Linked DNA regions of Mus musculus. The protein of the gene in region 2 purifies or fractionates together with the protein of the main gene of each other region. This does not show direct contact. Links are inferred from orthologs where the notes say so. Each region holds a gene or a part of one and is shown on either strand. Other genes may lie near its edges. The genes, in order: Acad11 and Gtse1.

Region 1 (10,503 bases), on a different chromosome or scaffold from region 2:
ATGTTTTAGCTCTAAATGTCCGTGAGGCTGGGGACTGCGGGAAGTGGGAGAACTGGGGGGAGGCTGATGGCCAGGAAAGAACTACTCGCCCACAGTCCTTGCACACACTACCTTCTCAGCAGGAAAGACATGCTGCTTCATGAACTGCTTCACTCTAGTGAGAACTTCCTGGCCTCTCCTGCTCTGTGCAAACAGCTGGCTTTTAGCATCAGCCTGTGGTGGTGTAGTCCTGAGAGTTCTGGGCAAAAGAAAAAAAAAGAGAAGGTTACAAAGGTGTCCAAAGTCATTAGTACATATCTCTTAAAATAAGGCAAGGTCTCCCCAGATATCCAAAATATCCTTAGGAGGAGCTGCCATATCTGGGAGCCTTGGGCTTATTGTTCAGTTTGGATCCCTTAGCCCTCAGCAGCTCGAGGGAGCAAATTCAGAGTCTTTCCAACAGCAGGCAATTGCTCTCCTGCTGGGCTGGACCCTTAGCCGCGTGGGCTATCTTTGCTTTTATGGAGCAAAGGTAGAATTGTTCTGACCACTAAGCTTGAACGCTTAAAGGGCTACTTTGGAAAATACGAGCCTCACATGGCCTCACACAGTGCTAGCTTCAGGGCTGTCTGCTGTAAATCTGACCCGTATTCTTCACACATTTTCCAGACAGCACTGCCGGGTGTTTTAATAGAAGCCTAATAAGAAACACAGTGAAGCCTTGCTCTGTTGGAAAAATCACACAGAGCAGTCTAGAAATGAGTTATAAAAAACAATTATCCTGGGGCTGGAGAGATGGCTCAATGGTTAAGAGCACTGACTGCTCTTCTAGAGGTCCTGAGTTCAATTCCTAGCAATGACACAGTGGCTCACAACCATCTGTAATGGAATCTGATGTCCTCTTCTGGGGTGTCTGAAGACAGCTACAGTGTACTCAAATATATAAAATAAATAAACAAATAATAAAAAAAATCCAAACCAATCATTCCATGGGAAGTGAGGCTTAGAACATGTCGCTGGGGTTAGAAGTATTCATCCATTGTATAAGGAGCAGAAGTGCAGCTGGAAAGGTATGTGGGACCCCTCAGAAATGCTGCCCGGATACACACATAGTTTCAAAGACACTTGCAAAATGTTGAAGAAAAAGTAGTATTGCTAAGTTAATAAATATAATAATATCATTTAAATAGGTATGTGTAACAAATATAAGAAACTATATTCACCTATGTATTTAAAAGGTTATACATTCAAAGTGGCAAAGAATACACTTAATCATAAATATGGGCAATTTTTTTTTCATTTTTAAGTCAATATCTTTTTAGGTATATAGTGACTTACTAGAAAACTATCCTGACTGGCAAAGCAGCCCTAGTCTGGGCAGAGATATCATTTCCATTTTCTTAACATTTTAACCTTCTCACATCCAGTGACTATTTAACTGGACGAACCCAGACTGTCTCCTGACTCTGCGGTCTTAGGAGACCAAGCCAGTTGAATTACCCAGAGAATATGCTTCCCTTACCTTTTTGACAGCTGCAATCCAGTTTCTGCCAGAGGTTGCACAGTATTGGCAGTTAAGAAGCTATCCTCAGATGAGTTATTTCCCATGAGGTATCTACGATAGACTCCCTACAAGTAAATTAACATGGGACAATTAAAGTTCATTGAAAACGATCCCCGGCTACCCAATTAGTCTTTCCAGTGTGTGATCCATATGGGGAACTAAATTCACGGACTCCAGACGTCAGTCAGACCATGGAGACCAGGAACATACTTGCAGAGGACACTGTATGGCTCTGAGTTAGAGTCACACTCATATCACATAGTTGTGACACTCTCATCCAGGCAGAAGTATAACCAATGACTCAAACCAAACTTGAAAATGAGCCACTGCCCCAAACAAGGCCACCTGCAGGTCACAGCATCTGTACTGATAACTGTTTCTCTTCACAGCGATCAAAATGGACTCAGACACCAACACCAAGGGGAAGGCCATGAGATGACTTTTCCTATTCAATATCATGTTTGATTCCTAGTTTGAGTAAACCTGTCCTTTGAGCAGTGTGACCTGAATGGCCAGCAGCTCTTTCACAACTCCCCACTTCCGTGCTCCCAACCTAACACACCCAGTTTGATTGGCTTTGGAATCATCGTGGAATCAGGCTTCTGGGTGTGGTCATGTGTACATTTCTAGAAAGATCTATCTGTGTTGGGAAGACCCGCCCTGGATGAACCAGGTGTCACCATTCCCTGGGTGGCCCCGAGACTAAACAAAGGGAGAAGACTTTTCAGTCTTCAACAGAGGATTTTGGCTTGCTTTTCCTGCAGGCGCACCGTGGTCTTTCCCACCACGCGCTTCTCCCGACTCTCCTGCCACCATCACATCTTCTCTCACTGACCTTCTCTGTACAAGAGTCATAACTCATGTGATACTCAAATTTTCTCCCCACTGAAGTTTTTTGTTGTTGTTGTAAATTTACACATTACTCATATCTGACGTGACCTTTGGAGAACACAATGGCCTACACAGTAGCCTGAACCGGAAGCCAGAGCTCACAGTACATCAGAAAGAAATGGTGAAACTTGCTTCAGATAATTACCTGTGATATTCCAGCCAATTTAAAAAATGAGAGGGCCATAAAGAAATTCCAGTTAGGGAGATTAGGATCAATTCCCCTTCGGTGGCAGTATATTGAAATCAGTTCTTCCATCAACGGTATTCCTAGAAAAACAGCACACAGCACCTTAATAAGAATGCCACAGAGAACACTTCAGAATGACACAATACAGCAAGAAGAAACAATGTGGCATGCAGTGCAAATGCAGTCAGTATTGAGCCTGTTCTAAATATTGATTCCCCAAGTAATAGTATATGCAAAATATTGTGTATTGTCACAGATTATAAAAAGTGAGATGCTAAGTTCAGAAAACCAGTAAGATGAATTAGAAACATTTTTAAGGAACAAAAGCTTCATAAAACTGCAGGCAAATTATGTCTTTAGCTCTGGCAATAATAAAGAGGATTACATATGACTGCTCTTCTGTACCTGTGTTCTCTGGAATGTGAGAGCCTCGGTTTATCATGGGCAGTGTCCTGGGCCAATAGTAAAACAAGGAAAGATGGGCTAAGTCCGTCAAGGGATGGCCGAAGGTCGAGAGCTCCCAGTCCAACACTGCTATAACCCGACACTGCAACAAGATGTACACAGACACATTGGATTCAAAACAAACTGAATAAGCAAGCAGACGGCACAGTACATTCACCCACATTTCCATCAAAATGCAACCAGACCTCAGTTTGTAGTCTTTGCCCATGGCGGTGCATCTCATTTATAGAAACCAACTGGCATCAACTGTCTAGAGCCAAGGCCTCTGGTGCTACTGCTGGCTGCCAATCCTCCTGCACTCTGCCCTGACATCTCTGCTAACAAACAGATGCAAACCCAGCTCTGACTTCTCAGTCTGGAGGAACTGTGGTAAAGAAAAGTTCTAATGATTAATTATATTTATATTTTAAGAATTAATATGGAAGAAAGTATTTGCACTGGTGATGAAAATAACTACATAGATATACATATGTATATATATTGTACCATTATAGCAATAATTCTTTAAAGTAAGCTATATAAAATAACCGGGAGAGAGCTAATCTCTTCACGTTGTCTTCTGACCTACACACACACACTCACACACATATTCACACACACACATATTCACACACACACAGACACACATGCATGCACAAACATTCACACATGCATGCACAAACATTCACACACAGAGAGACACACAGAGACACAGACACACACATACACACACAGACACATGCATGAATGCATGCGCACGCACACAGACACACACAGAGACACACACATGCATACACACACACAGACACATAGACACACAGAGAGAGACACACACACATGCACGCACAAACACTCACACACACACACACAGACACACACACACAAACACTCACACACACATATACACACACACACACACACACACAGACACAGACACACACACACACACTCACACTCACACTGTGAGTCAGGGTACTCCAAGCCTCCATGCACCTTTGTTTTTCACTTCCTTGATTCTTTGGAAAACTCAGACATAGTACTGTAGAGTTGTGGGCTACTGCAGACTCTGAGTCACAGGTAAGGAAAGGGCTGGGAAACACGGGTCACTGGTCAAGTGCTTGCCAGGCTCAGGTTCAGCCCACAGGCACTGGGAGAAAGGTCTTACTTGATTAAGATATGAAGTTATACTCACATGATAGTATGCTGCAAAAATTGAAAACCTAAGTTCAAGGTTTAAAAATTAAATGTCCTATACTCAGGAAACGTTCTCACTCACACACATGCCGCCAATCTAAAGATTTTAATTAAATAAATACTAAAGGAGACAGTTCTTGAAATAACAGATTATGGTCATTGTACCTGCAGGGTAAAAAGTCACACAGTCATGCAGGAATCATGGAGCCCGAAGAAGGGGAAGTCAAATCTGTAAAAACTCAAAGGAGGTAGAAAGGGCTGCCAGAGGCAGGGCTAGGCAGGCACTCACAGAAGGTGAGATGCAAGCAGAGGAAGGAAGCAGACGGGAAAGGCAAGGAGGGAGACTGGAGCACGGTGGGCATCTGCCATGTACCGGCCCGGTCAGTTTAGACCTATGTCAAGGGTGCAGAGGAGAGGCTCCCAGCCTCTCTATATTACTTTCCTGTAATTTTAAATGTAATTTCACTTATGTGTATGTGTGCTTTGCCTGCATATAAGCGGATCACACACATGCACTGCCTGAAGAAGCCAGAAGGGGGCACTGGATTCTCGGGTGCTGGAGAGCAGCCAGTGCTGTTAACTGCTGAGCCATCATCTCTCCACCCTGTTCACGTTAGTCCAGTCAGGGCCATTCCTTCTATGCCTAGCTGTACAGGTTGTTTGGGTGTTATGCTGGCACATAACAATTGCTCTCTTGCTGTTTGTCAGTTATCTTTTCTCTCCATCTGTGGTTTATGCTTGTTAGGAGAAATGTTTCTGGGCACAGAGTTGCTCACAACTGAATGCTTGTTGACATGAATTCTGCCAGCCATGTTATTCCATGAAGCTGGCTCTTTTTTTAAAGGTTCATTTATTTATTTTATGTACATGGGTACACTGTCATTCTCTTATGCACACCAGAAGACGGCATTACAGGTGGTTGTGAGCCACCATGTGGTTTCTGGGAACTGAACTCAGGACTTCTGGAAGAACAGTCAGTGCTCTTACCCCCTGAACCATCTCTGCAGCCTGAAGCTGACATTTAAAGTAGTAGATTGAAGTCTTCTTCAACAAGAGAGACACACAGCAACCTCCAAGTCCTGCTTAAGTGATGACTATGTTACTGTTTAAGATTGGGACCAGGCCCAAAGGCAGAGTCCGGTGCCATAAACTCTGTAGGACTCATCTCCAGAAGCTTTAAGTGGGAGACAGACTGAGCTGTGGGGAAGAACAGAATGATCTGGGCTCCTTCAGGACACTGGGGCAGGTGGGGGACATCTGTCTGCTTCTGGAGCCTCAGGTCAGACCTAGACAGTGTCTGTCTGTCTGTCTGTCTGTCTCTCTCTCTCTCTCTCTCTCTCTCTCTCTCTCTCTCACACACACACACACACACAGACACACACACACACACACACACACACAGCTTGCGGTACCTCTTTGGGGTGGAAAACTATGTTGTCCAGCTTGAAGTCTCCGTGGACCAGGCACTCCTCACTGTCACTATCTGGCAAGTTCTTCATCAGCCACGTGGAGAGCTGGTCCATGGCAGGGATGCTCTGATGGGCTGAGGCCTGGTACTGCTTCGTCCAGGTGGACACCTGGGAAGGGACAGCGGTACAGACAGAACGTTCCGTTGTCCGTGACTCTAAGACCACTTCATCTGTGCCCAAGTCCACCTTACTCCAGAATGCTTAACAAAACAGTGCTCACATGCACCTCCCAGCAGCCTGAAACACTCCTATCAGCCGAAAGCCCCAAACATGCAGGTTTCTCTTCCAGGTTGTGCCATTTTACCTACGTAGGTTTCTATTGGACAAGAAGTAAAAACACTGGCATAGGTGTCAAGAATGGTCCTCACTCAGCCGGGCGTGGTGGCGCACACCTTTAATCCCAGCACTCGGGAGGCAGAGGCAGGCGGATTTCTGAATTCGAGGCCAGCCTGGTCTACAGAGTGAGTTCCAGGACAGCCAGGGCTATACAGAGAAACCCTGTCTCAAAAAAACAAAAAGACAAAAACAAAACAAAACAAAAAAAAACCAAACAACCCCCCCTCCACCAAAAAAAAAACCCCAACCAACCAAACAAAAAGAATGGTCTTCACTCAGTAAGTACTCCATGGAAGACAGAAATGCATACAAACAACCCCTCATACACACGTATACACACCACATGTAGTTTCTCACCCCTCTCTCTCATTGGGCTCTCTCTCTCTCTCTCTCTCTCTCTCTCTCTCTCTCACACACACACACACACACATGTACACACACCACAAGCAGACAATTTCTCCCTGAAAAGGGGGCAATGAAAGCTAGAAAGAGCTTTTCTCACTTAACATCCTTTCCCTCACCCACAGAGTATTTTAAAGATACCATTAAGAGTAAAGCAGACTTTATATTGCTCTTAGAATTAGAAGCAAACAAAATCCCCCTACACGGGTCTCACTGGCTGGGATTTATATACTGTCTAGGAACTTACTTGTGTATTACCGGGTCAGTATAACCTTCATATTCCTCATCTGCAAAATGAGGTTAATACCCGTCTTGTGAGTTCTGCAGAGATTTTTAAATGAGGTAGTCTACAGCTCACTTAGCACTCAATAGCACACATCGAATACTCTACTCTCTCATATCTTCCCACCCCACTCTCAAAGGGCGTACTTATAATAGAATACAGCCCATGAGTGCCTAGTCTTACCTGCATTTGGTTGCAAGGGTCACCATCTCATTATTAATTCTCTATATCAGTTCCTTTCCACATCCAAGCACAGGCATGTATGCCTGTGCCCTAGACATACAGCTCTTGCAATGAGCACTGAACAATTTACTAATAGGTAGTAAACTCAGGGAAATAGACCATTCCCCAGCTTCATGTATATGAGACTCGTGAATGAGCATCTTAAAAACAGCCACAAGCTTCTTTAGGGCAGGAACCTATTTCTTATTTCTTGATATTTAAAAAAGTATCTTGCAAGCATTAAATTGATAAAAGCTTAATAGATTTTTGCTTAGCACAACCTAGAAAGGGAAAACTGAGAAGAAAATCTACTGGTAAACCAAGTGAAAAGCAGAAATGGAAGCCTTTACTAAACAAAAGTTATCTAAAAAATAAAGTTAGTGGGAGAGGAGATGGCTCAGTCAGTAAAGGGCTTGCTGGGCAAGCATGGGGACCTAAGCATGGTCCCCAGAACCCAGACAAAGAGAAAATAAGGAAGGATGGAAGAAAAGAAGACAAAGAAAGCCAGCTAGGCATGGTGGTATATGCCTGGAGTTCTAATAGTGAGGAGTAGAGACAGGAAGAGCCCTCAAGCTCACTGGCCAGTCAGACTGCCTAATCAGAACGCTTCAGGCCAATGAGGTGCCTCACCTAAAAAATGAGGTGGATGGCTCCTGAATATGAAAGCTGAGGCGAATCCCTGGCCTTCATTCCACACCCATGTGCCATACTTGTGTACCTGCAGATACAGGTTCATCCACTCAAAATACACACACACACACACACACACACACCAGCATTATTTCATGCTAAAAAGATATCTGAATACATTACCAAAGAAGATGTTAAGTGGCAAAATTTCAGACAGCCACATAACAAACAGGGCTTGCTTTCACTAGTCATTCATAGTACGTTACTTCTGAGACCATGCAGTACATTCTGACGCAGATGGCTTACCTGCCTTTTGCAGTACCCGACTCCAGTACCGTATTTGTCCAGCTTCAGCGAGCGTATATCCAGAGAATGTAGCCATGCCAGGGTTTCTGCCACAGACACATATATAGCAGCACGTTCTGCTGAGCTAACTCCAGGAATGGAAAAATCACGAAAGATCCGACCCTATCAAAGTGATCACAATGGCCAGTTTTTAAATAGCTGACAGACAAACTCAGCAAACTACAGAGCATGTTAGGCGTAGGCTTGTCTGTGAAATGTGTATGTGGATACATACCAAAGGCAAAATTCAAGGACATGCTAGAAGCAGTTTAAACCTGAAGGTTTTAAACTGCTTGTAACCCACATCTTCAAATTAAAAACAATTTGAATTTGCTCTTAATGGTTTGTTCTTTCTATGTGGAAGGGTGCCTCCCCCCAATAAGAACACACACACATCCCCATCTCCCTGTTTGGCTACAATTGTTGGTAGCTCTTTACTGCCACCTAGAGGGGTATTTAAGAACAAGTTAGCAATATAAAAGCACCAACCAAGTAAGATTGTTAACTTACCTGCACATGTTCCATTACATAAAATTCCGTTCCGATAACTGAAGCATCTCTGCAGTATAGCAGGGGCTTGGCAACAGGAAATCCAATGGAAAACAAGGCTTTCTGGATCTTGAATTCTCTGTCAATCTAAATAGGATTATTAAAATCCAGAAACAGAAATTTAATAACTACATGTGGGCTAACCTTAACTGAGGCTATTGGCTACAACATGTGTCAATATGTAACCCAGAGCTGACAGTAATATTCCCTTAACAGGAGCTTGTTCAGCCATTACAATTACAAAGTAGGCCATCTCTAAAGCATGATCATTTATTTAACTGGGGTAAAAAGATAGGCATTTGCATGAGGCTTACTACTGGCTCTTGTAGCACAAAGGCAACCGCCTGGCTATATTTCACAGGTTTTTGTTAAAGGGCATTTCTGTGTTCTCACAAGTTCCCTGCTTGTTGGCTTCACCTCTCCCTTCGTAGTTCTCAGGAGGCTTAGGATTGAGTTCCTCTAGTCAGATACAGGAGCTGGAGAAGGCAGGCAGTGGTTGTGGGAAGGGGAAATCACCTATTCCTTCTGATCATCAAGAGAGCAGCAAACTTCCAAGGAAGGAGCATGAAGACCCTTATAGGTACATGGTCTGTTCTGGGAACCCAGATAACTGAAGGGAACCAGGTGCCCAGAAGTTGATCTTAAAGCTGGGGCTCAGGAAAGAGAAGAGGAAACCTTATATCCTTGGGTGGGACACCTGCAGACCCAGAAAGGTCCCAAGGCTGTGGCTTACAGCAGAGATGTAATATGGGTGAACAAGGATGATTTGTGCATGTAGAAAGTGCCTGCCACACTGGGGCAGAAGTGACTGACCAGTTCCAGGGAAGGGGAAACATGTTGCTCAGCTTGAGTTCAAAGAGTAATGCAGTCATGGACCAGGGAAGTAATTAACCCAAAGTGGGAACTGTCCATAGCACTGAGGGCTATTGAAAGAGATGTGGCAGGAACTGAGAGCGGATGGCAGGGAGTGTGTGAGTGTGTGTGTGTGTGTGTGTGTGTGTGTGTGTGTGTGTGTCAGGGGAGGGAGGGGCAAAAGGGTTAGGGACAACAGCAAAGCAGGGACACTGCTTTTTAAAACACAGCCTTGGGGAAAGCCGAGGAAGTTCAGACAAGGTGCTCCACATCTATGGAGCTGGACTTAGGCTGAGAGCTTTCTGCGGTGTTCAAGTGGGACATAGTCAGGAGGAGACTCAAAGAGGACTGCTTCTGAGGTAGACATTTCTAGGCAGGGTGGGGGTGGGGTTTGCTTTCAGCCATGCCATGTTGACATTAACAAAAGTTACCCAACTCCTTTTTTGTAAGCATCTAAGTTACTTCATGTTGTCAGGAGTATGATGGAGCCAAGAAAATGAGCATCTGTGTCCCCTGTCACTATGATATCGAACCCGCCCACAGTGGTCTTTCCTGGTGAAGGACTACGAAGCACATGATGCCAGTATCACCCACGTATGCAGAGTACTTAGTACATTTTGCAGGACTTGCATTTATGTCCCTTCCTGCTATCTTGAGATAATTCCTGTTTTTGCAACCAGGAAAATTTAGTTTAAAAAATTGACTGGCAAATCATGTTTGTATGTATTTATGAGGTATAGCACAATAACTTGGTTGACGTATTTATTAGGTAGTGAACAACTCAGAATAATTAGAAAATTTAATCTGTAACAGACATCTTCTTTAATTTTCCCTGATGATTCTAAACCTTAAAGCCTACTGTACAATGACACTCAGGTCTTTCTCTTTTTTTAACCCCTGAATGATTATAAGATGCCCAAGGTAAATACATTAAACTCATCAAGTAAAGACCATCATTATAGACAATGCTCTTGGCATGCAGAGACAAAAAAAAAAAAAAAAAAAAAAAAAAAAAGAAAGAAAAAAGAAAAAGGCAGCTAGAAATGAGTAACAGCGAACATATCCGCAGGGAACAAGGAAGCTCACTGGGATGGGAGTTTAAACACATCTTTGGTCTTCAACTGCAGATCCTTTTTTTTTTTTTTTTTTTTTTTTT
Region 2 (10,956 bases):
TGTCCGCCATTAAAAATTGGAACCTTGAGCAGATTAGCTTGTCTTGGTTCCATTATTTCTCTACCCACATAGATTCCCTTTCTCTTCCAGTTACAAGATGCCTTCCAGGCTCGAACCTGGACATGAGGGCCGCAGGCCGGCCCCAACAATGGGGTACCGTTTTACCCATCCACTTTCCACCATGACAAAAAAATGTCTTAAAACTATGGACTGCCTCTTTTCATTGGGATCCGCTGTGGGGAGCAATAGAGAAGGCTTTCGCCTAAAGAGTCACCATCTAATCTCCCACAGAGGGGCCTCTCTGGGTCCCCAGCCATGACCACCAAGCCAAGCCAGCCGCCCACTGTCAAGCCTAGGACTCATTCCCGTGGGATCTAGCCATAGCTTCTCCCCTTACCCCCCTCGGCCCTGGGCTAGATCCAGCCCGAGGGCCCCCACTCTGTTCTCAGTTCTTCCGAGACTCCCAGTGGTACCTGGGTGCCCAAGAGCCTGAGAGCCAGACGGTGCCAGCCTCCTTGCAGGCCTGGGACCCCTGAGCCAGTTCTGACTGTCCTGTGCTTCAGGCTGTGTTTCCCTACCCCCGGAGCTTCCCCACCCCTGGAGTGCTGTCCCTGAGGCTTCCCTGCAGCCCAACACTTGGCCGGTGACAGCGTGGGGTAAGCGGGGTAAGTGTAGTCAAACTCCCTGTGTCTTGGCTCCCCAAGCCTGTGGTGGAGTGGACACAGGACCCCAATAACCCTCCACTGTGCAAGCCATCACACTCATTCAGGCACACTGATGGGGAGAAGCTATACAGGTTCAGGACAGAGGCAACTTCTCTTTTAAATAGCTTCAATCTGGAGGCCCGACTGCGTCTAGAACGTAATGTGTAAACCTCTGCTAGAGGAATGTGCAGAGAACTAGCAGCAATTAAGATTGCAGACTTCCAACTCAGACCTCAAATCAGCTCCTATAGGCTCAGTAGCAGCTTTAATACATGCTTTCTAATAGGCAGCTCAGAGTACCAGAAAGGTGACAGTCTCTATGTCTGTGAGCTCTGAACACAGAACACAAAACCCAATACCTCAAGTTCCCATAGAGGCGGAGGGATCAGTGAGAATCAGCTGCTGGGAACAACAGCCCAAGTGACAAGGCCAGTTCACTGCACATGGCCAGGCCTGTCCTCTCCGCAGTCTAACACACACACACGAAGATTAGGGGACAATTGCAGATGACTTCCCATTCTTACATTTACTTTGGATACAGGGTCTCACTGTGTAGTCCCGGTTGGCCTAGAACCCACTATGCAGACCAGGTAGAGACCCACCTGCCTCTGCCTCCAAGTGCTAGGACTAAAGGCATACACCACCACCATGGCCAGCTACTGTGTAGTTTTAAAGACAGGGTCTCTGGCTGGCCTGGCACTCACCAAGTTGGCTAAGCTGGCTAACCAACAAGCTAACCCCAGGGATCCAAGTGTCCTCTGCCTCCCCAGTGCTGGGATTCCTGGTACCCCACCACACAAGGCTTTTAAAATGTGAGTCCTAGGGTTTAACTTATGTCCATGCATTTATTAAATAAAAACAAAACAAAACCTTGAAGACCTAATTGTAATCAAGATACTAAACTGGCAACACGTTCCTATAGAACAAGTGGCAGCCCTGTAGTGCCAGCCAACTCACCTTGCCAGGAATGGGGAGTGACCGCTTGCCTGGGTGGCCTTCTCGACTGGCAGCATCTGGAGCTGTGCTGGGTTTGTCCTGGAGCACGTCACTCTGGGATCCCTTTTCATTCACGAGTTTCGTCCTCTGAATGCTGGCTGGCACCTCTTTTTTGAGCTGAAAATGTCGATTTGAGAGGTGAAGACTACCTGGTCTGACAATTCCAGAGCTGGCACCGCTCATCCTGGATGCTGCCCCTCTCAACCCATCCACTAGTGTGAGAGAAGGAGCACTGAGATGAGACTGGACCTCCTCACTGAAGCAGTGTCAAGACTAGGGCAGGCGGCCTGCAGAAGGATCTCCAAGGCTCCTCCTTTGTCAGGCCCTGACTTAAGAGTGCCATCGAGGGGTCCAGACATATGGTACATGCCTCTAATTCCAGCACCTGGAGGCTAAGGCAGGCAGACTTCTGTAGGTTCCACAAAGCCAGCCTGGTCTACACAGTGAGTCCCATGGCAGTTACATAGTGGAACCCTGTCTCGAAAACAAACAAACAAGCCTATACTCTCTGGCCTGCAAGCCCAGAGCAAAGCCCTGACATAGTGATGCAAGGGCATCAGGACCTTCTCCTCGTGCACACGCAGCAAGGATGTCGAGAAGGAAGGCGGTGCAAGCAGTCGCTTCAGTGTGAGGCCAACAGCAATGCTCCCCTTGTAGCGCTTCCTGTGACCCGAAGCTCCCCCCTGGGACAGACTCAGTGATACTGTCATTCTTTTACTAAAAAAACCTATGCCACTATCGGATGTGTCGTTTTAGCTATCTGTTCATCGGTTAATGGGCATCTGGGCTGGCTCCATTTGTTGGCAATTCTGCGGTTGTGAAAACCTCGTGTTAAGCTGGTTGATGACACTACAATCCTGCCTGGTATCCTGCATGTGCTGTGACCCACAGCCATGCATGGATCACACACAAATTCTGTTCCATATCCACGTGCTGCTAGCAATCCCACCCAGGGTGTCTTGGTGTCAGATGTGGTCAGGAGAGGGCTCACAGATGGGGAGAGGGGCCGTGCAGGGCTTCACCTTCCCACCACCTCACCGTCATTCCTTTAACTGTACCCTCAGTACAAATGAGGCTGCTATGGGGCTGCTTGGCCCTACACTCTAGCGAGCCTTTACTCTGTGTTTCCTCTCGGGAGACCTCCGTCCCCCTCCTCTGCAAACCTGGAAGTAAGTTATCTCTGACATCTGCCTTTCTACCTACCCCCAACTAGGCCTCCAGGGCCCTGAGTTTCCCACAACTGGTCAACTGCCATTTCCCTGACATTCATGTAATACCCGGGCAGAAGAAGTATAAAGTCCCAGCCATAGAGAACAGCCAGAGCCCAATGTGAGGGGCAGTGCTCCCCAGAGGGGCCCGGCCGGGCAGCTCCCCATCACTGCTGCCTTCGCTGTCCAGATTCTGGTTCTATTCTGGGCTTTCCAGTGCTCAGAGCGCTGCCCCTCCCGAGAGGCTTCCCTGGCAGGGCATGGGCTGAAGAGAGGCAAGGAGGCTGTGTACATCGCAACTGTACTATGCCTGGGTTTACCTTCTCTGTAGCCAGGTGAAGGTTTCTTCCTCTCACAGGCAAAGCCCGAGGTGGCTGGAGCTTGCTGGTGATCCTCTTTTGAGGCCCAGCCTGACTTGGAGGCTGGGAGGTACTTGATTCTCTTGGCAACGGCTGAGAGGAACAGGGCAGACCCTGGTTGCTCTGGGTCTGAGCAGGGCCTGCTGAGACAGGGGAGCTGAGCAGGCCTGGAGAAGCCAGGAGCTGGGGCTCCCCCATGGGCGGTTGCACCCTCGAGGATGGCAGGCAGAATGTCTCTCTTTTAAGTGACATGGGACTTCTGTCTCTCTTCTGTTCTTTCTCAAAGAGGCTTACTTTTAACTGTGAGTCCTGCACAAACGTTTCCTTGCCCTGGTTCACAGGATTTTGGGGCGTGGCAGCCTGGGCCACCTCTCTTCGGCTGTGACTTTCTATCTGTAAGGCCAGTAAGTGGGCTTCTTTGTACACCTCCACAAACTTCTCCCCAGTGAGAGGGCTCAAGGTGCAAGGGCTACCAGAGCCCGGGGCAAGAGGCTGCCCAGGAACCCGGCGGTTTAAGTCCAAACTGGCAGCAATGCATCTTTCTTTATGTCCAACAGGCCCAAAAAAGACTTCATCATCTTCATTTGTGCTGCGTTTAAAGAAAAAGATTATCAGGGCTGAAATCACACCAGCATCTAGGCGAGGGGCTTTGATGAACCTGTCTATACCAGGGGTTAGGGAAGAAAACGCATGTTTACCTTGAAGAAGACAAGGAAAGATCGAAGTCAAATTTTTCATCTTCCAAAAGAAGAAAGTCTGGGGTGGGGATGGGGAGAAAAAGTTCAGTTATTTTAGGGTAACATAAAACAGGAAAGCACTGGTTTCACAGTTGCTATGAATCTCTCAGTAAAGTAATAGATTGTTGCCTGAATTCAATCAATTGTCATGGGCACCTCAAGTCCTTCTTATTTCCCATTTCCACTCTCAAGTTCCAGGAGCCACTCTGAGTGCACTGATCCACCATCAAAACACAGAACCTTACCTCTATGATAGAATCTAGGGTTTCCAAGAAGGCTAAGTCACCTTCAGGCACAGGCTATTTTCTAAAGATCAACTACTTTAGCTAGCCTGGAATTCAATTATGAGACATCTATCAGCGATGAGTTCAAAGATGGTTCAAACTCACAGTAGAGACCAACGAGTATCTGTGGAGCACCACTGCTCCTCGGGTCCCTTTCCAAAAAAACAAAACAAAAAAGAAAACAAAACAAAAAACAAAAACAAAAAAAACCCCAAAACCTAAACCAAAACCACCAACAAAAATTTTGCTCTGCCTATCCACATTCCTAGCATAGCCTTGGTTGAACCAACTGTGGATTTATTCAGCTCTCTCTCACAGACCAGCCACTTCCCAGTAGTACTTAAAGGTCTGCTTCACCGGAGGGAACCTACATAATTCAGGACAAAATCCTAAGGTGGAGGAAGGTCATAGGCTTCATTAAGGATGCACGTTACAGCCTGGTTAAGTTGCATTCTAAACCTTTATGTTTATGCTCATAAATTACTGGACTGGGCTGCCAGCCTAGGTCATTAGAGGTGCTTCTTATAATGGGCATCACTGTGTTAAGCAGTCTCCTAAGGTGTCAAAGAGGATACATAACCTGATAGGGTGCAAAGGCCCAGTGCTCAGCCCTAAAAGGGAGAAAATAATTGTAAACCCACATCAACCCTCTAAGACTCAGGGGAGCAAAGTTACTTCCCACCACATCTGATGACCTGAGTTCAAGCCCTGGGACCCTCAGGTGCTTGCACACCTTGGTTACCACCCCCAAACACACACATACACATACACACACACACACACACACACACACACACAAACCAAGTCATCGTAAAGATTCCTCCTCCCCTCTTTTAGACAGGGTTTCACTGTGTAGGTTTACAAAGAGAACTAACTGTTCTGGAACTCACTCTGTCGACCAGGCTAGGCTAGCCTTGAAATAAAACTCAAGAGATCTGCCTGCCTCTGCAGTTGGGGCATTAAAGGCGTGTGCAGCCACCACGTAGCAAGTCTTGCTTTTCAAAGAATTTGCCAGCACTCAGAAGGCTTCCGAAGGTGGCTCTCGATGAATTCAAGGCCAGCCTGGACTACAGAGTGAGTTCCGGGTTACAAAGTGAGGGCTCAAAAAAACAAGCAAGAAAGGAAAAGCAAACAAAGTAAGTCAGTGGAGGAGAAAAGAATGAACCACAGGGGAATGGGTGGAGTGAGGGACTCTGCGCTCAGTGCAAGAGAAAGCTGTTGCCATTTTGATAGCACAGCAACTGTGATTAACCACAGGAGACCCTCACAAGATTAAGACCCCCACTTAAAGCCCTTCTGGAAGTGGGGGGAGGCCCCTCTTAAGATTACATAAGTGGTTTTAAAAAGTGGGTGGGGATGTTGTAGGGGCTTCTTTGGTGGTGGAGCTATGAATTGCTAATGTCCTTGTAAGTAACTTCAGTTAAATTTATTTGCTTATCAATCCAGACTTCGTTTCTTTGATCTGTTGTAGCCCTCTCTATTTTGTTTGGGGTGAAAAGGAATACACTCCAGAACAGCCTTACGAACAGAAAGGACTTACCTTCTTTTTTACTACCAGCATCCATCTTCACCTCTCTCTCCACTGGTTGGCCGAAGGCACGTCGCGGCCGTCTCCTCCTTCCACAGAGTTCGCTGCAGGAAGCAAGGGGACGGGAGAATTAGGCAAGTCAGAGGCAAGCCCCAACTTGCTCCCGGTTTCCCAGACTGTGCGCCCCGAGGCGGGGTAACGGATTTCCGGCTCTGAGCTGCAGAGCTGGCACCGCAGCCCGTCCTCCCCGGATCTCTGCGGCTCGGGACCCGGTTCCCCACTCTCCGGGACCAGCGCTACGACCACTCCTTACCCCTCGCCTCTGACCGGGAAGGCATAAAATCCAGCTGGGTCTCCGGCACCGGTTTAAACGCGGCGCCCGGCTCCGCCGGCCGCCGATTGGCCTGTTTAAACAGGAGACGCTCTCGGTGCAGCCTGGGAAATGTAGTCAGAGTGCTGATGTACAAGACCAATGCCCAAGACTCCAAGCCACGGATTGGCTCCGCTGGGCGCAGGAAACTCCCACCGGAAGTTCCCATGACTCTCCTCCTCCGGAGACACAGAAAGGATTTAAGCGTTCCGCCTGTGGCTGTGCTAGCAAAAGGGACCGAGGCGGTGATGGTGGGGCATAGGAGATGGTCAGGCAGCTAGGAAGGAATTTGTCCCGACTCTCTCCGGTGCTTGTCCTGGTATCTCCAGTATTTCTCATGCGTCCGGGTACTCTCTGCAGCCTAAGGCCTCTCTCCTGTACTCTGGTGTGCAGGCCCTCCCTTTTCCCTCAAATGCAGAAGAGTGACAGAGCCGGTCTTAGCACTTCTTTGCTGCCAATATGTTAGATGCCTTTGGATAGCAATGAGCAGGAAACTGGCTTCAAGGTCTGTTGGTTCAAGGAAGTCCAGGGTTGGCCTGGATAGCCATCAAGAAGGCCATCAAGTCTGGATGTCGTCTCTACACATCGGCCAGGTCTGGCTCACTAGTAGGCAAGCTGGCTTCGTCGGACCCAAGGTTCCCACCGGCTGGGGATGGTGACCGGTTCTGTGTATCTGGAATTTTAAGGGCCAGGCTTTTCTGATTCACACCGGGGGCGGGAGGGGGGGGCGCAAGACCACGGTGGCAGTCACATCTGTGGTCCAAGCCTTTAGCTCCTGTGCATGAAATCCCTGCATCCCTGGGGCTATCCACTGGGCAGTAAAGTTCACCAACACTTCTCTTTGTATCATATCAGGTCATAGTAGATGTTCAGGAAAGCATACCCATAGTAACTCACTGCTATTTACATTTTCTCTTGGCTTTAAAAATATTTTTATTTTATTTTTTTTGCCGACGTGTGCGTATGTACAGGTATGCAAGTGCCTACAGAGGCCAGAAGAGAGTGTCAGGTCCCTTGAGGCTAGATTTACAGGCTCTACGTGGGCGCTAGGTACTGATCTCTGGTCATCTGGAAGAACGGCAAGTGCTCAGCCATGGAGCCATCTCTCCAGACGCATACACATTTCCCTTTAAGATCAGTCGCCTGTCCCTGGCAGATGCATGCCTTCTTTCATGAAAGCCTACACATACCAGCTTTTACAGACAAGGCATTCAATGGAAGCCATTGAATACCAGAGATCACAGCACAAAGTGGTTCAATAGCAAGGGCAAGTGCCAAGGGCTATGGGGCAAAGAGAAGGCACTGTCACCAGCCCACAGGCAGGGTGGAAGGCTTTCTGAAAGAGACAGAGAGCAAGACTCCGCTTCTGGCTGAATCATGTATTATTTGGAATCATATACATAATGAGGACTAATGAGGAGGTTCCCCCTTGGCACCTGTCCCCAGGCTCCCTGATATGGAGACAGTACCTCTTCAAATCCTATGGCGATTACACAATTTCTTGACTTGCTGCCTCATCCAGCTAAGATTAGAGAAGCCCATCTCCCTAGGACGCAACCCAAACCTGGCACTTGGGAGCTGCTCAGAGGTTCCCATAGGAGAGGGTAGTCAACGGGACCAATTGTTTTAATGAATGCCCAAAACCTGTCCAGTCCTCAGCAGACTGCAGGGACTCTGAGCAGGCTAAGCAAAGATCTGGTTTGGAGACCTCCAACCCACTCCCCACTCCCACCTGCCCATCAGTCCCTACTTAAGTAGGAACTGCATCAACTTCCAGGAGGGATGTCCCTGTCACAGAAGCAGGAGATGGGCTTAAACCTCGTGATGGCTATGTCACTTATCTGGTTATTTGCCACAGCAGAGCAGCCCTAAGCTGGTGTAGTGGTTTGAATAGGTTTGGTCCCCATGGACTCAACACTTGGCTCATAGGGAGCGACAAGTTGGTTTTTGTTTTTTTTTTTTGTTTGTTTGTTTGTTTGTTTTTTGGTTTTTTTTTTTTTTTTTGGTTTTTTCGAGACAGGATTTCTCTGTATAGCCCTGACTGTCCTGGAACTCACTTTGTAGACCAGGCTGGCCTTGAACTCAGAAATCCGCCTGCCTCTGCCTCCTAGGGAGTGACAAGTATTAGGAGGTGTGTACTTGTTGGAGGAAGAGTGTCACTGTGGGGGCAGACTTTGAGGGCCTAGCTCCACCCAGTGCAGAAGGGACCCTCCTGCTGGCTGCAAGAAGATGGTCTCCTTTTGGATGCCTGTAGCTCAAGATGCAGAACTCTCAGCTCCTCCTGCACCATGCCTGCCTGGATGCCGCCACGCTTCCCACCATGATGATAATGGACGGAACCTCTGAAACTGTCAGCCAGCCCCAAATAAAGGTTTTCCTTTGTAAGAGTTGCCTTGGTCATGGCGTCTCTTCACAGCAATAGAACCCCGACTAAGACAGCTGAGGGTCTCACACCCACTCTCAGGAGCAGAATCGGAGCTAGCCAAGGAAGCCACATCCCTCAAGATTTACTCCCAAGTGAAGTCTAAAGAGAAGCTCCAGTTGGCACCACCAAGTCCCCCAGGGAGGCAGAAGGCATTCTTCCCCTCGTCTCTGGGGACGGTGGCAGGTGCAGTTGTCTGGGGCTGACAACCAAAGCCAACGAGACAGGATACCCTCCCCCCAGAAAGGAAATGCCCCTGCTCACTGGGACCCCAGGCAGCTCTCTGGAATCCTCCCCAGGGAAATGGGACAGCAGGACCTGTGCAGAATATAAGGAAAACTAAATGGAAAGGATTCACTAGTGCAGTGTGTGTGTGTACGAGTGCGTGCGCATGTGCACACACATAGACTTCTAGACCTCCCAGCTGACCTGGCCACATCTCTTCGCTGCCTGCCGACTTCAGAACAAGAAAATACAATGTTCAAGGCACCTGAAAATGATAGCCACTGCTTTGGTTCTGGAGGCTTAAAAAACGCATGTTGGCCCTGAGAGGAATTCTGAACATCACTCAAAATTAACTTGGGTTCCCTACTTTGACCAAACTACTGATTTGGAGAATTCTGCTCAGGACTGAACTTTAACCTCTGATAAACAAACCCAGCTGTTTCCTAACCGTACCCTAACCCAACCAGGCAGTCAACCTCACGCCAGGAGGTCAGTGTTGAGCTGTAGGCTAAGGACCTGGCGGTTTCTACTGCATAAGATGGACAGCGGCCGCCCTTCGGATCAGCCGCTCCGTCAGGGGTGAGTTGGGTTTCAAGGCGTCACGCTCCATCAGAAGGCTCCTGTGGAAACACACAGAGTTTTTGTTATAGAACCTTCTAGAAGGACGTGCGAATATGACTGGCCGGGGCAAGATGGGTCCAGCCATCTGGGCAGTACTCTGATTTTCCATGAGAGATAAACACTAGAGCTGAGGACTCCAGTGTAGGTCTATCACGGTGGCGTTGTCTGTCTTAGGGAAAGCCATGGCTCAAGACCTCATAGCTCATGCTTCTGTCACCATCTAAGGCTAATTATGAGAGGGACCAGGAAGCCACATGTGAGACTGGTCCAGGAAAAGCAAATGAAAGAGTTGGGGTGGGGAGCCTTAACTAAAGCAAGACCAGGACCCATCAGGAGGTAAAGCCCCTACTGTGGCTGGATGCTGGGGCCTCCTTGATTAGCCCATATGAGTCTTGTGTCTGAACCACATGTCACCTGTGTTTGCTTTGTTTTGGTCACACACCAAGGAGATTAAGAGAGACACAGATGGTGGCTCTGAGGGCAGTAAGTGTTGTTAAGGGGCTGGGGCTTAGGACTCGGGGGACCACACCCCAGCCAATATAGACTGTATCAGTTCACTTTCTGCTGCTAAAACAATTTGTGCGAGGCTGGGCACTTTGCAAAATTGAAGGTTTTATTTAGCTAGGTTCCAGAGACTGGAAGTCCAAGATGGAGGCCTTACCTGGCTTCATATTAGGCTGCCTGGCTGTGTGAACAACGGAGGTGGGGGGGGGGAGCAAATGACCATGCACGAGAGACTAAGCAGAGTGGCTTTGTTCTATAACGGTTCTTCTGTGAAGAGCACTAACTGGGGCCCCCTGAGAACTTTAACATCTTCTGAGGGTGGGGCCCAGGAGGAGCTCTCCTCTCTCCACCCTCTTTTTCTCAACACTTCCAAAGTTAGGAACACACATGCAGCCATGGAACCCCGGGCCACACTCAAACCACCTAAAACCACAGCAGCGGGTTCTTGCCTCTGAAAGGCATGGGCTGCATACAGAGGCAAACACTTGGAAGGATGCCCCATCCCTGCAGTGTCTTCCCAGGCAGCTGTGCCACCTCTCACCCCTGCACTACCTCCTGTCTGCAGCTTAGGACCCAAGTATCTGCTCCAGCATGGGCCGCCATGCTGCACCCAAGAATCTTCCCCAGCTCAACCCTCGGGCCCCTCCTCTGACCAGAGCCCACGTTCTCCTGACTGTGACCACCTTTTACCCACAGCAGGTCCCCAGAGGCTCAACCTCTATCCCTCTCCCTCTCTCTGAGACAGGGTTTCTCTGTGTAGCCCCGGCTGTCCTGGACCTCACTCTGTAGACCAGGCTAGCCTGAGACTCAGAAATCGGCCAGCCTCTGTCTCCCAAGCGCTGGAATTAAAGGCATGCTCCATCACTGCCTGTCGGCGCATGTGTGCCTCTTTGCATATAGATGCGGAGTAACAAAAACAGGGACATGTTCCCGTGGCATTTCTGAGTTCAAAGTAGTTCAAATGTTCCTGCCCATCCCCTGGCACTGCTGTGGGCGTC

What was found.
Region 1: the proteins of Gtse1 (region 2) and Acad11 purify together in Homo sapiens (co-immunoprecipitation; 3 studies listed by BioGRID and IntAct, counting the BioPlex papers as one, with this or other methods). This does not show direct contact. The link is inferred for Mus musculus from reciprocal best matches to the Homo sapiens genes GTSE1 and ACAD11.

What each region holds. Positions count from the first base shown.
Region 1 is NC_000075.6:104,073,896-104,084,398, reverse strand, and holds part of Acad11 (acyl-CoA dehydrogenase family member 11), read right to left. Parts: intron 8,583-10,503; coding exon 8,457-8,582; intron 8,070-8,456; coding exon 7,908-8,069; intron 5,837-7,907; coding exon 5,672-5,836; intron 3,169-5,671; coding exon 3,027-3,168; intron 2,702-3,026; coding exon 2,580-2,701; intron 1,609-2,579; coding exon 1,502-1,608; intron 239-1,501; coding exon 112-238; intron 1-111. UniProt on the Homo sapiens protein: Acyl-CoA dehydrogenase, that exhibits maximal activity towards saturated C22-CoA.
Region 2 is NC_000081.6:85,854,968-85,865,923, reverse strand, and holds the start of Gtse1 (G2 and S phase-expressed protein 1), read right to left. Parts: upstream 6,218-10,956; 5' UTR 6,130-6,217; intron 5,979-6,129; exon of another isoform or gene 5,921-5,978; 5' UTR 5,854-5,920; coding exon 5,829-5,853; intron 4,024-5,828; coding exon 3,966-4,023; intron 3,857-3,965; coding exon 3,229-3,856; intron 1,818-3,228; coding exon 1,662-1,817; intron 1-1,661. Other genes in the region: Ttc38 (tetratricopeptide repeat protein 38), read right to left, coding at 9,360-9,453. UniProt on the Homo sapiens protein: May be involved in p53-induced cell cycle arrest in G2/M phase by interfering with microtubule rearrangements that are required to enter mitosis. Overexpression delays G2/M phase progression.